Tribolium castaneum: one gene and its partners. The protein of the gene in region 2 purifies or fractionates together with the protein of the main gene of each other region. This does not show direct contact. Links are inferred from orthologs where the notes say so. Each region holds a gene or a part of one and is shown on either strand. Other genes may lie near its edges.

The links. The genes of interacting proteins can lie anywhere in the genome.
Region 1: the proteins of Der-2 (region 2) and Faf2 purify together in Homo sapiens (affinity purification with mass spectrometry; 5 studies listed by BioGRID and IntAct, counting the BioPlex papers as one, with this or other methods). This does not show direct contact. The link is inferred for Tribolium castaneum from reciprocal best matches to the Homo sapiens genes DERL2 and FAF2.
Region 3: the proteins of Der-2 (region 2) and E3 ubiquitin-protein ligase AMFR purify together in Homo sapiens (affinity purification with western blotting; 4 studies listed by BioGRID and IntAct, with this or other methods). This does not show direct contact. The link is inferred for Tribolium castaneum from reciprocal best matches to the Homo sapiens genes DERL2 and AMFR.

Annotation. Positions count from the first base shown.
Region 1 is NC_087399.1:11,512,310-11,516,542, forward strand, and holds the start of Faf2 (FAS-associated factor 2), read left to right. Parts: upstream 1-1,416; 5' UTR 1,417-1,567; coding exon 1,568-1,961; intron 1,962-2,013; coding exon 2,014-2,197; intron 2,198-4,233. UniProt on the Homo sapiens protein: Plays an important role in endoplasmic reticulum-associated degradation (ERAD) that mediates ubiquitin-dependent degradation of misfolded endoplasmic reticulum proteins.
Region 2 is NC_087399.1:2,163,998-2,167,187, forward strand, and holds Der-2 (derlin-2), read right to left. Parts: upstream 1,658-3,190; 5' UTR 1,516-1,657; coding exon 1,423-1,515; intron 1,372-1,422; coding exon 1,138-1,371; intron 1,079-1,137; coding exon 792-1,078; intron 746-791; coding exon 622-745; 3' UTR 545-621; downstream 1-544. Other genes in the region: rdgBbeta (cytoplasmic phosphatidylinositol transfer protein 1), read left to right, coding at 1,880-1,930, 1,978-2,126, 2,177-2,273, 2,867-2,938, 2,989-3,190.
Region 3 is NC_087396.1:17,610,627-17,614,878, forward strand, and holds the start of E3 ubiquitin-protein ligase AMFR, read left to right. Parts: upstream 1-1,435; 5' UTR 1,436-1,699; coding exon 1,700-1,948; intron 1,949-3,333; exon of another isoform or gene 3,334-3,368; coding exon of another isoform or gene 3,369-3,428; intron 3,429-4,252. UniProt on the Homo sapiens protein: E3 ubiquitin-protein ligase that mediates the polyubiquitination of lysine and cysteine residues on target proteins, such as CD3D, CYP3A4, CFTR, INSIG1, SOAT2/ACAT2 and APOB for proteasomal degradation.

The DNA.
Region 1 (4,233 bases), about 9.3 Mb from region 2:
TTTTGATTCACTTTCATAAAAACCATTGTAGTGGAATTAACTAACCTGTTACCACGACAACTCATATAAAACTTAATGCTAAGAGTACCCAATTTCCATCATAATGATTTTTATGAAAGTGAACCGAATGTAGTTCTTCTAGTTTTCATTTGAAAAATTAAAAACAAAATTTACAAGTTTGTGGTTTTTCTGAATAATTCAGAAACTAAAAATGACGCATAAAATTTTCCTTCCGATAATTGTTCAGCATAAAAATGCGCAACCGACCACGTATCTCTTATAATAATTGAGATACCCTGGTGGAGTTTGAAAAATAGACAGCCTGTATGTACAAAATTTGACATTCTACAAAGTAGACTGGTAATTCTCAAAATGGATTTTCTCCAGTAGGTGCTTATAGTATTCTTATAATTATAATAATTATTGTTTATTTGGTCTGATGATTCATGTAAAAGAATACTTTAAATAATGTTTTTCTACATATGCACAGGGTGATATAGTCTGGTCTTTAACAAAATTGTGACACTGACAGTTGATTATATAAAAAAAAAATTAACTATATTTAACTATTCTTTACTTGATCAATGAAATTTGAATTCATCGAAATCACCATATCAGGTTGCAATTGGCTAACATTGAGCCGCGTTGATAGGCGTGCACGCAGAGAAAATTAGGAATTAAAAATTCAAAACTAAAATTATAGAACAATTGGAGCAAAACTAATATTTAATTTTTAGTGTTAAATAATATTAATTTGCATATAGTTTAATTTGAATCCCATAATGTATTAGCTGTTTAAAAACTATAAAAACGCCAACGTCGCATCTTACCAAATAATTTTTTTAAATAAGATTGATAAAATTATAAAATACTTATTATCTTATTAATGATTAGATCTCTTATTGAAACTATAAACTACATTATTTTTTTGAAGTGCGTGAATAATTTACAACAGCTATTAGCTGTCTCAAAATTCTTTCAAAATTAGCTGCTATAAATTATTCATGCACATAATAATAGGAAATGTATTAACACTTTCAATGAGAGATCTAATCATTAATACATAACTGTTTTGAAATTTTGTCAAGCTTATTTAAAAAAAGAATTTGGTAAAATGCGACGTTGGCGTTTTTATAGATTTGAAACAACTAATATTTTTTGAGAAAAAATGCGACGTTGGTGTTTTTATACTTTTGAAACAGTTATTAGGCAACCAGCAATACTCATGTCATTAAAACCGTCAATATAATTAACTAGTCGAATTACCTGAAATATGGGGTGTTTTACGTTGGTAAAAGGGGATTTGGGACAATTGGGAAGATTCAAAATTTAATAAATTCGAAAAACACTCGCGCAGTGCTGCCAACGCTCACCGGTAGCGCCGAGACTCCCCCAATTTTCTGTGGAAACTTTCAAGACAAAGTGACGTTTCGAAAATAAGTGTAATGCTCAATAAGTGTATCAATTCACGCATTTGTAATTTATGCAGTGTGACACCGCACCGTATCTAAAAATTCCACGTTTTTATGTGCACATGTGATTATCCCGGCCGCGCTGTGTTTTCACAATGAATTACCTCGGAGACAACGCTGGTTTGGGGCTCACGAGCGAGCAAACCGAGAAAGTATTACAGCTGCAAGACCTCACCGGCATCGACGACATGACGATATGCCGCGACGTGCTGCAGAGGCACCAGTGGAACCTGGAGGTGGCCGTCCAGGAGCAGCTCAATATCAGAGAGGGCAGACCTTCGATTTACGCCACGGAGAGCAGACCGCCGGCGGTTGTGAGCGACCTTTTGGGGCAACACATTTACTATTCGATGCCTCGGGATGGGGGCGGTGGCGGCATTCTGGGTTTTGCCAAAGCTATGTTTAATTTTTTCTACAATATTTGCTATAGTACCATTTTGGCCCTGTTTCAATTGGGGAGGAGGATGATTCGGTTCGAGCCCGAAAGGCGTAAGGGAGGGTTTATTGAGGTGTTTTTTGGCGTAATTGGGGGTTGTTTTAGCGACTAATCCGCTAGATGATGTTGTTGGGTTTATTAATCTTTACCAGGAGAAGTATGGAGATTGCCATCCAGTTTTTTACCAGGGAACTTTCACGCATGCCCTTAATGATGCTAAACGAGAGTTACGGTTCCTTTTAGTTTATTTGCATAAAGAAGACCACAACGATGCTGACTTGTTTTGCAGGTAACTTACGCCAATTAAATTTATAGTTACACTGGACTTGTTTTTTGAAATCAAGTTGGCAACATTGCATAACAGATGCAAGTATTTAAATAAATGTACATACATACAATCAAAGTCACTGTTACCATTTGTTAAACTAAATACAATTTTTTTTTGGAGGCGTTTTTCTTGAAAAAAGTGAATCAAGTACATTGATCCTCTATTATAGTGTTGCCAACTTAATTTTAAGTCTCCTACTCTTCGATCAGAAATCTAATTGTTTAAAATATATTTTTTCTACTTTGGTTCACAAAATATTCATAGTTTCACAAAGAGAACTTTTGTGCAACTCCTTTTAGTAAGTTTTTAGGAGTTGTATTGGCAGTGCTGAGCTGGATGTCATCAGTCATCACTGTAATTTAGTGTGTGATTTGTCAACAGCATCAAGTCGTTTATTGATAAAGCCTGAATAATTGACAAAATTAAGAGGAAATAGTTTGGACAGATTTTTGATAAGTTAAACTAAACACAAACACAAAAATAGAAAGCAGAAAAAATAGTATATTACACTCGTTAAGACTTAATTGTGGCACTTATTCTATTGGAGCAGTCTTTCGTCGTGCTCTAAAACATTTCGTGCTTATAGACTTATAAAACTTTTTTTGTGTAATTTATACTATACTTATACTATTTTTCTGTAATTTATATTGCATCTTTTCAAGAATTTAAATTGGTATTATGTTAAAATTTATACAAGGTGAGTGTGTTAGTAGTTTTTTGCATTTGTGTGGTAATTTACTCAGTTGACGCTTCATTTGGCAAAATAATTGTGTCGTGTAAAATGGTAAACACGCAAAATTTGCATTTAACGTTATCAAATTAAAAAGTAGATTTTTTATTTGACAAGGTATAGTGATGGTTATTATCACTCGATGGCGCCGTTCCAGTCAGAATTAAAAACTAAGAAACTAGTAATTTTATAGCGCCATTTTTTTACGTATTTTTTGTGTATTTTTTACAATAATAAAATTTCATTTAATTAATATTTAAATTAATTAATGTAGTTAGGTATTTTGGTTCTGAATACTTCTGTTAGGAATTAAATATTTTTCATAAAAATTAAAACGATTTATTATAACGTAAAATGAAACTAAGGATCTTTTTTTTGAGGGTCAGGTGTAAAGCATCATACAATAACAAGTTTAATAAATGCCTTACGAAATTTTGGCTTTGAATGTTTTACCACATTAAATAAACAGTTAAGTAAAGGATACATTAATACAGGGTGGTGGATAGTCAGATTTTTTCCAAGCAACTTAATTTTGATGTATTGTTTAATTTGTTTTCCTTAGCAACGGTATCAATTTGTTGTTTTTGTTTCCCATAAGACATTAATTGTTGATCTAACTAAAGTCAAAAAATATGATCTGAACCACCAAAAACATAACTTAAAAATTTTACTTTGAAGAGCTATATCTTGTGAAAAAAGGCTTAAACAATTTTTTGTCATAGGAACTTTTAATTCAGTTTGATGTTCTTTATCAGCACCCGAGAGATTTTCCGGTACTTTTGAATCACCCTGTATAATGACAATGGCTTGAGATAATGAAAAATACACGAGAAACAACTGTAAGGAATTGTAGAAAAAGTCTGCCAACATTCACATGCATTATTTACATACTTTTAGGGGACTCACCTTGTATATTATGGTTAGTTTACAGAACCTTTAATTGTGATCAAATTTGTCCTTAAATTGACGCTCACTGCAAAGTAAACTTTATGTGAATTAGATTAATCTTGGATTAAGTTTTTATTCGATTTCTATAATCCGACCCTTATTAGAGTTAAACTCAAATTAGTTCTGACTTTTATTAGACGTTATACCTTTATTTTCAATAGTTTAAAGACAGTTTAAGGTGCTCTAATTTGTAGTGACGAAAAGGTGGGTGCGTCTTTAAATATGTGATGTTAATTGTGTCTCATTACATTTTTGTGTATCTTTAGTCATGTTATCAAAAAATGTTCAACATTTTAGGTGAAGCCAAGCGAAAGTGAAG
Region 2 (3,190 bases):
GGAACTCGCCAGTTTTGAGACATTCTGTATATTATGTATAATGCATTAACATCTAATCTGCTATAAAACAGTTCAAAAGACGTGCAGTGCAAAAATTACGTAATAAAAAAATATAGTTTTAAGTACTTCATAAATTCACTGATATCTCTAATTATCATTATTCGTTTTATGTTAATTGTTTGACGTAGTCATTAATCTGCGTAGTAACACCTAATGCTTGCCAATAAATTTATTTATTGAAATTAATCTGTAATTAATGGGATTCCAATGATTTTTTTAATTAGAATACTTATTTCAAAAGTACTTTTTGGACTTTCGCGCAGCATTTATTTTTTTTGACGTCCGTATTTGCTGCATTTGGAGATTACTGTAGTCAAAAAAAATGTACCGCCTTAATTTTATGGTTTTACGATATTACGAAGCAATCTTTCAAAATTTTTCCAAACGTTTAATGAAACGAAATTAATTATTGTGAAATGTCGGTATTTAATTTTCCCGCTTATCAGTTATCAATTTTGTAGGGTATGCAAAAAATACTCGTAGCTTCGATAGATTCTTTTATTAATAAACAAGTATTACAAATTAATTTTTGGGGGTATTGTACACTGGCTAGGGTTGGTATCACTGCCGATTCTCTTGGGGATTCACCTCCTGGTTCTGGTTGCCCCAATCGAACCCCCCGGGCCGCTCCTCAGGAGGCGGGGCATAGTCCGGGTCTTCAGGTATTTCGTCAAATAGCGTACGCCTGCAAGAATCTATTAAAACTAACCCGAAAAACGCCCAATCCTTACATAAAATGCGGCGTTTTAAGTATCCTAAAACCCCCTCTTTGGTTTGGAAAAACATCCTCTATAAAATAATAAATATGTCCCACGGCTATCCCCATCAAGTCGACATAGACCGCATTTCCCAACAAGAGCGAGAAGCCCAGTAAAACCCAAGGCAAGTAAGGAGCTTGGAAGTTCAAAAGGCCGAAAAAGTTCATCCTAACGTACGGATTGCGCCGCGACCACACGTAAACCAGCATTATTGTGAACGCTTGTCCCAGAAATAATAAGTTAACAAAGAACGCAAAAATCTAGTCGGCGTTAAGGCCAGCTTTTGACGTTAAAAACGGCGCGCTTTTTGAAAGGATACAATCATACACACGCCCCCGAACAGGAACATCATCACAAAGTCGGCCGTCCTGTTCCGGAACGAGCCCTCCTCAAGCATCCTACAGTACCTATAAGTGAAAATCATGTTGAAGAAGAAATTGAAACCGAACGTTCCAAAAAATAGGAATGTGGTGACTAGCCGCCATAACTGCCCCTGTTTCAGGATCAGGATGGGGTTGAAGTACAGCTGGAAGGGCGACGCCAGTTCCAATTGCTTGAATGAAACAAATTTTAACAAAAAACCCCCCAAAAAAATATAACTTACAACAGCCAGCGTTGTTATCACACATGCCGTTGTGTACGCCCGGGTCACGGGGGGCATGTGCAGGTATTCGTTTCGTAACGTCTGATAAGCCATTTTCGGGCTAACTATCACGACATGTCCATTTTAAGCCAAAAATCAGATTTTGAAAGCCACATCAGTGCTTGAAATTATCTTGTCAAAATTTGACATTGTTGACATTTCTCTCCCGGCGCTAGTAACTTCGTTTCGGCACGATTGGTACCCAAGTCGTAAATTCGGCGAAATTAATAAATTCGTTTCAAATAAACAAATCCCCGATGGTCTATTTCAGAAAAATTCCGTGTTTACACTTCCAATTGTGCCTTTGTTTAACTAAAAATGAGCCTGGTTTGTTTAAGTTGGCGGGACTGTGCGCACGCGCTACGTTTTGTTTAACCATACTGTCAAATTTTTCCAAAAAATAAAACCATTTTTTGCGATGGTTTTGACTAAAGAATACCGAATTTGTATGCCGATTACGGTCGAAGAGGTGAGTTGTGGTCATTTAGTGCTTTACTTGACTTGGTTTTATGAAAGTATCAAGTGGGGCAACTGTACATGATCGCGAGGCACAGTTTGGAGCAGTCGGGGGATGGCGAAGGGGTTGAAGTGGTTGAAAATCGGGAAATTGACGACCCGGAGCATGGCAAAGGCCAGTTTACCGAAAAAAGAATTCACTTATCAAGGTTTGATTAAGAATTAGCGAATTAGAGCGTTAGGTAATGAGTTTTTGTAGCCGTTTGCCTTACTGGGTGCAGGCCATTATACCTAAGATATTTTACGTGACGGAGAAAGCGTGGAATTATTACCCGTACACTATCACAGAATATACGGTACGGCCCAAATATACCGGGTGTTTCGGTTTTTTATGCGCACCTTTGTAACTTTTTTATTTTTGTAAAAAAGTGTACAAGTCGTTTATATTTTTGGTTGGATTGACAAAATATATTGAATAAAATCATCAAGTTGGCTGTATGGTGACATTCGTCAAAACGGTGACTGTCAATTTTTTTTCATTGGTTCCTTGTATAATTTTTTGCACCATTATTTATAATTTTAAACATGTGACAAAGAATTGGTAAATAATTAAAAAAATATAGATTATTTTAAATAAAAAAATATATATTATATACTTTTATTTACTAACTTAAACAAAATACTATTTTTTTGGCACTCCTTTTATAATAAATTCATGTCTACGGATATCTAAAGGTTAGGATATAAAACAGCCTACTAATAAAACGTTTCTGTCCTCGATAGTTCCGTTAATGACGCCATTATTGCATTGTAAAGTCAATTTATGCCTAAACCGTTAAAAATAGAAATATGGTATTTTACTTTATTTAATAAAAAAATTACAAGGGTTAAATTCCCAAACTGAAACACCCGGTATATTTTTTATATATTTTTTATTATTTATTTGTAGTGCTCATTTATTCCACGTTTTCACATTGAAATTAAAACCAAATATGAGAATAACAACGGCAGTACCGAAAACGTGAGTCAAAAAATAAATTGCAATTATTTTTTTTAAATAAAAAAATTTAGTGTCTTAATTTAACTCCTGAACAACTTGCCGAACGCCTAGTCGACCACATTGACATAGCCTACGATGAAGTGAGCCCCAAACACTACAAAGAGGAAGAGGACCCGCGTTTTTTCCAGTCGAAAAAAACGCAAAGGGGGCCCCTGGTGGAGGGCTGGCGGGCTAACTACACCCCAATCATGTGTTCGTATAAATTAGTAAATG
Region 3 (4,252 bases), on a different chromosome or scaffold from region 2:
AGGGTGACAATAATCACTACAACGCCAATTGTTTAAAGGAAGCTTCATTTTTAAACATGCGCATTGCTTTCACAGGACCTAACTAGACGTTATCATTCATTTTAAATTCTGTTATTTGTAAAATGCTCTTTTAAAGGTGAAGGTTAAATAAAAATGTTAAACATTACAAATCCAATCTCATCTTTTCTATCCCTCTTTATTTCAAGTTAGCTATAAAGGTGAATCTGGGTTTAAATTACCTCCAGATATTTTGAAACAGCTCAGGTTCATTCTTAATTTGAATCTCATTATATTATTTTGAATTTATTTTTACTTCACAAACGAATAAAATAATAATATTTAGTATTTGAATTCCAAGATATTATTTTTTAAACTATGTACCTTACGAAAAAACAAATTAGTGTACACTATCAAGTACTTGAATGTTTTCGAAGTCATTTTGATTATTGAGTTACTCAAAAAAATATTCAAATGGCACCTTCCTACGGCGATTTTTTTTTTGGTAAGAGATTCTGCTCTATACATAACTTCTACTTTAATAAAATTAATTTTAAACCATTTTAATAAATTATTAAAATTGCGGTTCGAACTCATTACGAAGATTTTTCAACTTTGAATCCATAGGATACAACCACTTCGGCCAAGTTTTTAAAAGTCCCTATTTCCCATCGTTTTTTCCTAATCAAAATTTTCCAAAATAATTATGTTACTCATTAGTAAGTGAAATCCCAAAATATTTTCGCTCAATTAAATTATTTATAATTCAAATCTCTATTGTTTTGCTACTTTGGTACTCTACAGGGTGTCGGCGAATTTCGAGTTCAGAGTGTTGTAAAGAAGCACTTTACTAATCCAAATATAGAAAAAAATTAAAATTGAGGGATTCCGCACAAAGTTACATTGGTTTGAATTAATCTTAGAATTACGTTTTCTTCAAATGCAGGCAAAAAATGTTAGTGTTTATTGTTTATTTGTTTATTCATGGTGTAGTGTATAGATAATTGTAGAGAATAATAATATAAAACATTTTTTTAATTAGCTTTATTGCCGTTCCATTTTTAAGAAAAACTACTAAAAAAATAATGACCAAAATAAAGTTAACTTTTAAAGAAATTGTTTTCCATTATTGTCCACTATCATCTATATCATAAATAACAATAAACACTGAAATTTTTTGCCTGCAATAAAGTGCTCTTGAAGTGCACATTTCGAACCAATGGTAATGGTATGTAGGGGCAACCAATTATACAAGAAGCATGAATTGTGAGTAGCCGACATTTGATTAAAAAGTTGTTCAAACACCATCATTTAAGGATAAACAGGTGTTTGGAGTATTTTAATGATAAAAGTGGATAAGACATAAGAAAGGGACGAGGCTTATGCTCTGAAATATATAAATTCGTTTAAAATTCGCCCTTCCCCTTACAGGGCCCTGTTTTATCCGGATATTTGACAGGTGCATCAGTGGCGGCCCGACCAGCTGGCGCACCACATGATCAATACATGTATAAAATTAACCATCACGTACCAGTGTGTAATCAAAAGTAACGTGGCCCCAAGCGCACCACATCTCCAGTGACAAATCGTTCGCGGCCGCGACTCCACACTATGTCATCGTCGCGCCCCAATTCCGCTTTGACAAGCCGCACAAGAGTCGCGTTGTAATTTGTGACATATCGTGTTTGTAAACAGTGACAATATGCCAGTGATTTTACTCGACCGGTTGCCTGTGCCCAATCTGCGGATGTACTCCGCCGGCAGTGTCTTGGCCCTTTCGGCGTGCGTCTACTACGCCACGCAGGTGATCAAGGACCCCGACTGGGGGGCCGTCGCCGAAGACATCAAAGACTCCAACAGAAGTAACGCCTCGGTGCCGCTTGGCCGGTCCATGGGGCAGTTTGTCTCCGACGTGTTCAGTGTTATGATAAGGGAGCCCATCTGCGTGTGGGTGAGTGCCGGCTGATGCTCCCGGATTCTTCCGGATTACCGGAAATGTGGCGCAATCTTGGGATAACATTACCGCAAATTGCGTTCCGCGAAACGAAAAGAACTGACCGGCTAACGACACAACAAATGCACTTTTTTCTTCCGGTAATCCGGCTCTGGAATAGTCGTGTGGTCACTTTATTAAATTTTAGTCAAAATCGGATCAATTCCTCATTTTTAATTAATTCTTTACGCACCAAAGCGTTACTGAACAAGTCCCGTTATCCAACGGCTTCTTAAATTGTTAATGATTCGAATTACCGAAGCGTCATAAATCATTATTTTGAATAAAGTATTCCAAGTCTCCGATCTCATCATCGAGTCCGGGCTTGCTCATATTTTATTCGTGATTTTCTAAGATTTGTTCAATCATTCGTGAGAGATCCAGATTTTCGATTGAATTTTTCACAAATGTGCCTCGGCTGGAAAAGGTCATGTCGCAGCTTAAATTCCGCAATGCAATGCCAACAATTCACATTATTCAGTCAGACTTTAATAAAAATATCGGAAACGGCTGCTTCTCTTCCTACGCAAGTAATTTAAATGTTTTGTTCATTGACCTGTTTCAAAACAAAAGACTCGTAATTGTCTACAGACGTCAAAAACAAATGTTTGATTTAATTATTTTTTATTGTCTGCAAAAAGTGATTCTCGTAGGGGAGGGTGGAGCATAAAGGTGCCTGAAAATGGGTTTAGTATGCCACGAAACAATCGAGAAAGTCAGCCTTCTTGATTTCTATTTGCCTTAGAATATTTCATTGACGCCCGGTATATTTTTTGCCCATTTTATTGCTCAGTCGGTATTTCACACAATTCCACAATCGCTTGAAAGTTTTTCTAATAACAATCATTTGCAATTACTAAATTGAGGTTTTGACATGCAATGTGCCGTTTTATTCTTTTTGAAAGCAAGGCTTCAACTTTTCCGAAACTCGTTTCGTTGTAATAAAATCGATTTTGTCAACTTTCAAGGTGATTTGGGGTAGGTTGGGTTTATTTCTTTAGTTAGGAAGTATAGATAAAGGAGTGAAGTGTAATTAATTAATGTATGCACAAGGCCAAATAGTTACTAATTGGAAATTGTTCCCAATACGATTTTTTGAATATTGTTTTCCCGTTATTAGTGTCAGATGAAGCCATACACGTGCCGAAGTCGCTTCCAGGTCATAAACGTTGCATCAGATGAATGTGATAGCACCATAAATAAGAATAATATCTATTATTCTCACTTCAAATTCTGACAAATCTGTTTTAATCGAAGGAAATTTATTTTCAATGGTAGGAGTCTTCCTACGATTTTTCGAGAGACAATGACAAAATTTTATAAAGAGTTTCATTACTGATTGTTCATTGCTGTGGTGCGTTTGAGAAAATTGTGAAACATGGAAATAGACAAGTGGAGGGTTATAATTCCCCGAAAGTTCTTAAAAAAGGTCCTAAAGGTAATAAAAACAAAATTGTGAAACTGTGTTTACAAGAGAAAATTTTGTTAGTCCGACTTTAAGATTGTTTGGAATAAATAGTAAACAAATTTATCAACAGTTGTAGTACAAATGTAAACCATTACAAAGTGTAGAGTTACATCAACTTTCGGTCCACTGAATGATAAAACCAACTCGCGATTTAAATCTAATTAAAACCAGTCTGTAATCTTTTAGCAAATTTCTTGTTAATCGTCGCTTTCATCGAGCTCTTATCAGTTATTGTTTCGGGTAGCAACTCGAATCCTTGAATTTTTTAAACATTTGGGTGCCGTTTTATTTTTGGCAACTTTCCGTTCGGTTTTTAAAATTATTTTTAAGTTGAGATTAAACCGGACCTCTTGTCCTTCAAAGCATGCGAAGCGAGAATGTTGTTTTCGAATTAATTGACCACTCAGACGTTTAAAAAATTTAGTGGCACTATGTGCTCTGTCCAAGTCTGAATCATGGAACAAAGTACCGTAGGCGGTTAGATTCTCTTATCAATGACTCACAAATTATATGCTGATATCTATTGTTAACCAGGTATAATAAAATAACAGAAATTACGAGGTCTTCAATGCGCACTTTGTGAAAAAAACTGACGTGGCTTATTATTTGTGGATTGATTTTATGAGTTGTATTAAAACTTGATTTGTAATTATATAACTGGTAAAAATTGGAGGAAATGAAAGGTTCCAAGGTTGAAATATTTAAGTCATGTTTTAGTGCATTTTTTATCGAGGAAAAAATTTGCTCGATGTTATTCTTATATCGATCGTTTCTAAAGACACGTCATTGTTGTG